Linked DNA regions of Drosophila melanogaster. The protein of the gene in region 1 binds, or shares a complex with, the protein of each later gene. Each region holds a gene or a part of one and is shown on either strand. Other genes may lie near its edges. The genes, in order: Hus1-like and Rad1.

Evidence for each region.
Region 2: Hus1-like (region 1) and Rad1 share a complex: the UniProt entries of both Drosophila melanogaster proteins name them as parts of the 9-1-1 checkpoint clamp complex.

What each region holds. Positions count from the first base shown.
Region 1 is NT_033777.3:4,810,396-4,814,320, reverse strand, and holds the start of Hus1-like (Hus1-like), read left to right. Parts: upstream 1-2,224; 5' UTR 2,225-2,338; exon of another isoform or gene 2,339-2,877; intron 2,878-3,533; exon of another isoform or gene 3,534-3,649; intron 3,650-3,925. Other genes in the region: Gmppb (GDP-mannose pyrophosphorylase B), read right to left, coding at 1-82, 345-518. UniProt on the Drosophila melanogaster protein: Component of the 9-1-1 checkpoint clamp complex. Involved in both meiotic and somatic DNA damage responses.
Region 2 is NT_033779.5:2,573,201-2,577,125, reverse strand, and holds Rad1 (radiation insensitive 1), read left to right. Parts: upstream 1-2,073; 5' UTR 2,074-2,144; coding exon of another isoform or gene 2,145-2,250; intron 2,251-2,310; coding exon of another isoform or gene 2,311-2,744; 5' UTR 2,745-2,745; coding exon 2,746-2,850; intron 2,851-2,923; coding exon 2,924-3,643; 3' UTR 3,644-3,690; downstream 3,691-3,925. Other genes in the region: insv (insensitive), read left to right, coding at 481-489, 554-1,675; Sws1 (SWIM domain containing Srs2 interacting protein 1), read left to right, coding at 2,145-2,250, 2,311-2,744.

The DNA.
Region 1 (3,925 bases):
TCAATTCCACGCCCAGTTTCTTGGCTTCGACTTTAAGCTCCTTTTCCATTTGCTCGGCTCGATAGCTGACGGCTAAAATAACCTGCGAGAAAGAAGTATGCATTATTTTAGAAATATAAAACAAAAGAATAATCTCTTTTAGAGGAAGTTGATTTGATTCTTAGCGTGTTATGTAACCGTCTTCCCTAAATTTGGCAACGGCAACCAATATGGAACAAGATCAACTGTTTTCTAAACATCCAAAGGTGTTTAAAAAACCTTGTTTTAAGAATGATGTGCCATATTTCCATTCTCCTAAGCAATGGGGCAGTTTGGGCGTCATTAGTCTAAAAAACTGGATATACCTGACGACATCCCGCATCGACGAGTGCCTCCAGTTGGTGGAGAAGAATCGGCTTATTGGCAAACTCCACCAGTGGCTTGGGCGTGCTGAGGGTCAGGGGTCGCAGCCGGGTCCCATAACCACCGACCAGAATCAACGCCCTCGTCCCGTTTCCCACAGCTGGATTTCCACACATCACTTCTCCGCTTCCGCTTCCGCCTCCTTTCCGTTCTCCGGTTTCTATAGTCCGTAAGCGAGCGACACGTCACACCTTAAAGTTCTCGAGACTTTCTCCGTACAACGAGATTCCGTTTCAGCGGTCAAACAACTGCAATCGACGAAGGCAAGTGAGTGACTCAGTTGGTTGTCTTTAGTTTATTGTTTACTCACCTTGTTGCGCTATCTATTTCCTTGTTGTTGTTTTTGGAATTGTCTTTTTTCGTGATAAGAACCTTTGTGCTTCTGGTTGGATGCACTTGCCTGTCCCAAAACAATAATAGTTTCTATTAGTTTTAGATGGACGTTTTCAAGGCTTAGGAATATCGATCTTGTCATTGAACATTCAATATGGTCTTTGTGTATTTTATTATCATTTGTTTTATGAGTAAACTCGCCGCACAGGAAAGTAAATAAAAACCGAGCTGGCAAAGTTGGGATAACACTATCGGAAGATGGCGATGATTGCGCTTCGTCCCACTCGCAGCAGCGCTGATAGCCGGATTCCACCGAACATTTTACGCTAAATTAATAAAATTTATTAAAATTCATTTCTTGTTAAATTGAAGAATCTTAAAAAATACTTTTCAGTTTAATTTAAATTAAATAACCTATCTAAAGACCACAATCAGGCATGTTCCGGTAATAGTAATATTTTTTCGATTACGATTTGGCAAAATCTTTCGACTTCGTTTTTAGGTGCTCGGGTTTTCGCGGAATTTTTGCGATCGGAATGTTTTGTAAACAGGAAACAGATGTCTAAGCTGTATTCCAGACAATGGAGCGACCAATTTTTTCACAGTTTTAGTTCCGATGTTCGCACTGCACTTTGTCCATTTAAGTAATTAAATTAAATAGTATTATTTACGAACAGTACTTTCGACCCTCCTTTAAATTAATTACGAATTTTTTTTCATTACATCTTATATGCATTTATACTGTTTATACTGTATTGTTTCACCAATAGTATAGCAGTCTTCCTGATAGCTTTTGTCGACATAATTATGAACACTTGCCAAATCGAAACTTTTTGTTGCCAACTGCAAAATTTTGTTTGTCAAATTTCAGGTGGGGTCAGAAATTACTTTTGTTTAATATAACTAAGTCTAAAAATGATCTTATGGTGATGTGGAACATAAACATCAATTAATAAATATCAATAGACCAGCAAACTATTTTTTCCCCTTAGTTAATAAGATCTGATTTGATATAAAAAAGGCATTTACTTTTTAAAAGGCCGTTTTACAAATTAAAATTTTCTTACGAATTCGATTACCGGAGCATTCCCGAATAATATTGTAGAGAGCAAAACGGGTTGATGGTTTCTAAGGTTTCAACGGCATTACTGTTTTGACTATTCCCTACATTTCAAAATATATCAAAAAGAAAATCCTAAAATGTACAGTAGAAATTCAGCTTTTTATAGCTTACTTAAAAGTTTCGCAATACTTATTCTTGAAAACGCAACTCAATGTAAGTTTATGTATAAAGTATACTTCTGTATACATTAATACAATTATAATTGTAATTAATTAAATCACTATAATTATAATTACCATGCATATCGCCTACAAACCAAATGCGGTCTGCGGCGAAGGTAACGGAAGGCCCCAAATGCATCGTTCACATTCAAATAAACAAAGCATTCCCCATCGGTATCGTTATCGGTTTTCGATGTCGATAGTCGTTCGTAGCAAGACGCGGTCTCACTGGTGCACATTGTTTTCCGTCGCGTGTGAAAATTGCTGAGTGTATAAAAACTGTGCATACTTAGAGAAAACTTCTGCATTTGGTTGAAAGGTAAGTGCGACTGCTGCGGACGCCATGGAGACCAAAAAGCTTTGCAAAGGCGAGCCTATGGCGATACGAAGAAGTAATTTGACCACTGATTTTATGGGGCTCCGAGCTCAGACGAGATACACATACGCACACATACACACGCTTACGTTTCAAATAGGCACCAGCGAGACGGAAAACAAAATGTCGACCGAATTGTATTTTCCTCTATTACTTTTTCCCACCGATTTGTGAAGGTTTATGCCTTTCGAAGGCTCGGAAAAGTGTGGTAAATTTGTGCTTTCCCAATTAGAAGTTTTTGATTGAGTGACATCTGGGTTTAAGTGCACTTTTTTCTGAGGGCAATCTCCAATATTGATTTTTACAATGGCTGCCGAGGAGTCTCATTCATTTTCCAGGAAAATGTGCACAGAAAAGCTTATACCAAAGTGCATAGGTGATTACAATTCCAAATGAATGATTTTCCAAATAGTTAGTTGATAAATTTACGAATAGAATTTTCTCGCAAATCAATTTTGATCGTCTTTCGTGTAGGTTATCCACTGATGAATACGTATGTGTGTCTTTTTATTCTATTCGAGTTGGTATTTTCTTTTATTTGATAAGGGGTGGGTGGGGGTCGAGCGCATCTTGTTTAGTTTTACTTTCTCTTTTATTTATGCTGCAAACTTCAGCGGGTGGTGCTCCATCCATGCTAGCATGTATGTATGTATTTAGAGTGAGTGTGTGTGAGTTAGTGAGTGAGACTGCAAGGCAATCACGTTTCTTATTCTCAGCATATTTATTTTCTGATCAATTTTTGGCCTCTTTTCAGCACTTTAATATTCTTTCCTCCCCTCTCCAGCATTTGTTTGAATTTTAATATTTAATTGTTAACGTACATATGTACATAGATACATACGTTTAGATACGTTTCAATGACGCGAGGGTTTCAGCAAGAAAGCAGATACATATATATACATATTTGTGTAGCCATTATTTTTTTTCGCTTCTTTGTGAAATTCGCTATGCTGCTGTGACGTCATAGGTCAATTTTTAAAGAGAAAAAATAAACAGCTGATTGCCAAATAGGCAGCACTGTCGTGCGAGCTAGAGTTGCCCTTCCTAAAAGGCCTACTAAATGTCATAAAATAGCCCTCATTGCACTGAACAAAACTCAACCCGGAGAACTCAGTGACGTACTTTTTCTGAATTTTAGGGATTATTACATCAGTTTTTGTATGCTTCCTTCATTCCTGATGCCATAGTATTACTAGCTTTGTCAACTTATACAGCAACTCAAACAACCCATGTGTATGGAAAGAACAAAATATGGTAAGTACCAGTTCATTTCTGAAAGAACTCTTAAAAGCAAATGGAAAATCGCTGAGGTACTGCCAAATTTCTTGTTATCCACTAACCACTCTGCCACGCATAAACGTTTGAGCTCATTTTCATTATCAATAACCTTGAAGGTTGATTGAACTGCGAAAGGAAATATTTTGACCCCCTAGACGGGATATAATTTGATTTCCGCCCCCGGAGCCCCCTGGCAACACCCTCCCCGCCCCGGGAGCCAACCCTGGAGCCGCCCCTACACTTGAGCCGTAC
Region 2 (3,925 bases), on another chromosome or scaffold:
TGACCTTCGCCAAAGTGCAGAATACAGAATTTTAACCAAACGGATATTCTGAAAAGAAAAAGAAAAAAACTTTATAGAGAGAACTTAAAAATTTAAAACCCTCGTGACTTGCAACCGATAGTTTTATTTCATAGCCCTAGGTGTCAACCCTGTCGATGAAAGAGAGAGCAAAAGCAGCTTTATTCGCAATTATTTATAATAATAATTATAATACATATACTGGTTCCCGCGCAAACAACAAATCCCATGCGAAGAAAGGAAAAGACAGCTGGACTTGGACTAGTTGGGAAATAGACGGGGTCCTGAAACAGAAACAGGAATAGGATATCAGCTACCTGGAGGGCACACTCACACACACGCAGAGGCAGGCGCTCTCTTCCCCGTATATGCGTGCGCATGTGTGCGTGCAGGTAGGAATGCAACCACTTTTCGCATTCTGCCGCCAATTTTCAGTTGACGCAGATCCTTTGAGGATTGAACATGGAAAACGTGAGTAGCTGCAGGATATCTCCACCGAATATGTTGATCAAGAGTTTTTCCCATCGAATTGCAGCAATATCAGCGCATAGTCAGCGCCACTGCACGCGAGGATTCGCAGGCAAGGAGGAGCAAGCCCTTGTTTCTGAATGCCTGGTCGCAGACTTCTAGCGTGGACTTCGAGGTGCTTCGCAGCATCTCCGCGCCGGACCCGCAAGTGGAGGTCGAGAACAGAGCGCTCCGCGATAAGGTCCGCTACTTGGAGGCCAAACTGCAGCAGCACAAGGATCTGCTATCCCAGATTCATGCCACCTCCGCCAGGATGCAACAGGCATCCTCCCTGCTGGCAGAAAGTAGACCACCCACGCCGCCCGCGGTCCAGAGCCACCACATTCTCACGCCACCGAGTTCAGAGATATGTGCGCCCGCGCAGAATCCCCAGATTCTGGACTACAAGATCATCTCGGCACCCGACGATGCGGATGCCATTGAGATTCGCCTGGCGGCGGAGAGTCTGAACAGCCTGAGCACCTCTGCGGACTCAGATCGCCTGGAGATTTGCCTGGGCGACGAGAATCATCAGCAGAGCAATCATCACAATTCCCAGCAGCAGTACAGGATTAGCAACGGCATAAAGAGGGATGGTTCCTCCGAGTCCGCCGACACTCCACTACAGTTCATCAAACGCCGCAAGCTGCAGGAGATTCAGTTGCAGGAAGAAATCCCGCGGCAGAACATAAAACTACCAGCCAAACCCCAAGTCAAAGCCCGTAATGGCAGTTTTACCGATCTCAACAAGGGCCAACAGCAAAACATGGACAACGTGATGGTGTCCATTGGCCCGAACAACACCTGTGTGCCCGCCAGTGTCTTCGAGAATATTAACTGGTCGGTGTGCTCGCTGGCCACCCGGAAACTACTGGTCACGATCTTCGACCGGGAAACTCTGGCCACCCATTCGATGACGGGCAAGCCGTCGCCCGCCTTCAAGGATCAGGACAAGCCGCTCAAGCGAATGCTCGATCCTGGGAAGATCCAGGACATCATATTCGCAGTGACGCACAAGTGTAATGCCAGTGAGAAGGAGGTGCGCAACGCCATCACCACCAAGTGCGCCGACGAGAACAAGATGATGAAGATCCAGAACGTCAAGCGACGCAGCAGTGGCATCAAACACGAAAAGGAGAACATTATTTAGATGTATTAGTAGAAATTTGTTAGCACTTAATCATTAATGACTTAGAATAGCACCAAAAACGGCTGTAATGCCCGCACAAACTCTCACAATCCATAGATAGTAGAGCACTACATCGAACTAACGTGTAGCAGATTTTTAAAGATCTCGAAGATGATTTTACCAATCCGAACCAAAAGTTATTGTGGTTTTATTTACATTTCAGGGGTTGTGCAGGGTAGATAAGGGTTTCTGCATAAAGCCTTCATTCTTTAAAAAGTTGAAAAGAGTAAATGTCCCAATTCGAATTAGATAATTGGCGCGAAATTCATTTACCATATAAGGCTTGGAACTGGTCACCCTAATAATTAAATCACCAATATGCAGCGCTGCCAGACTTTTGTTCAGAACAGCTGTTGACGCCTGACGACTTTTTGGCGGTATTGTTTATAAACAAAATTCACTTAAGAAACTGGATTTAATAATGTCCTGAATGGCGTCCGAGTCAGAAAACACTACATCCTATTTTGTTCCGCATCTGGTTGATCAAGTCTTCGAATTATATCGGAGTAAAGCAGAGTCCAACAGCCTTACAAAAGGTACGAGCTATCAAATCAGAAAGATTCTGTAGTAACTACTCTGGATTTCAAACTTTTCAGAGGAACGCGGACAGTTCTTTTACGATCTATCCATTTTATTGGGCCAAGAACTGGTCCTGCGATCGCTACACCTCTTGGACGACCACAACTTCTCCTTCTTCCACGCCAAGAACAATCGATCCGTGTGCGTGGTAGAAATTTCCAAGGGAACCGAGTACTTCCGCTTGATTCCGGGCGTAAGTTTCTGCAAGTGTGAGTTCTTCCAGTGCCACGTGCTGCAGTTGCCGCGAGGCATCCTCTACCAGGACCTTCCCAGTGGCGAACCGGGCATTTTAGAGGATTGGAGCGAGGAGAGCCGGGTGTCCTACACCTGCCAGCACATCCTGGCATTGCGGCTCCATCAATTTCTGAAGCACACGGGCGGGAAAACCACCGAGAAGATCCTTAAGAAAGAGGATATCAAGGAGCTGCGGACGGACGTCTTTCGGGACTAGGATGACTGATGTGGAGCCATCGCCCTACGGCGACTGCAAATTCGTCGCTCGAGTGGAGCACATCAAGACCTTCATCCAGGCCATCAAGTCAATCTGCTTTAATGATGTAAGGATTAACTCGAACTCTCTTTATTCGTTAACCAACTTAACTCGGTAACAACCTATTGTTTTACCCACAGTATGGGATGGTGCAAGTCTCCGAAGATGGTCTGCGCATCACCGTGGAGCAGGGCAAGTCCATCCAGGCAACGCTTTTCATGCCGCCGGGTGCCTTCATGGAGTTCCGTGTGCAGGACTTCCAGTGCTTCGGTGTGAAAATGAATGTGCTGTCCGAGTGTCTCAGTCTCTTCGGATCCGCCGATTGCAGCCTGCGAATGATGTACAGGGATAAGGGCGATCCCCTGAAGATAATTCTGTATCCGCACGACGACGATGATGTGAGCACGGAGTGCGCCATCAAAACCATGGACTGCGATGAGCCCATTGACTACGATCAGAATCTGAAGGATCCGGATCTTAATGTTATTTTCGTACGCGGACCGAACCTATCGAAGGTGTTCAATGAGCTGGAGAAGTCCGCGGAGGAGTTCGAGTTCGTGACATCGCCGAACCGCCCGCACTTTAAGATCACCACAGTGGGGATCATGCAGGCGGTGTTCAGCGTCGAAGTGGCAAAGACGAGTCCCATGATGATGATGTTTAACTGCAAACAGACGGTGGTGGCTCGCTACAAGAGCCAGCAGATCCGCATGACCAACAAGGCGATGCAGTCGGCCACCAAGGTGGCCATTAAAACGAACTCCGTTGGCCTCCTAGAACTGCATCTGGTAATGCAGGGCGATAGCCAGGAGGAGATATTCATTCAGTTCTTCATAATTCCTTTGCTCAACACTGATTAAACCGAAACTACTAGGTAGCTAATAAAATAGAACTTTAAAATATTGCTAAAATCTTGAAATCATGTAAATCTAATTGAGGTCTGTAGTTAGCGTGTGGGTCAATTGTTAATGCTTCTCATGCAAATATAAGATGGATTCAGCATTCAGTTGAGTACTTAAGGTGGCCTTGGAACGATTTGATATTACTTTATAATACTTTAAATGACGTGGACTCCCGGAGGAGAAAGTTGCATCGCCATTTACAATGACTCTGAAGAAGAGGGCATGATAATGGTACGCTGC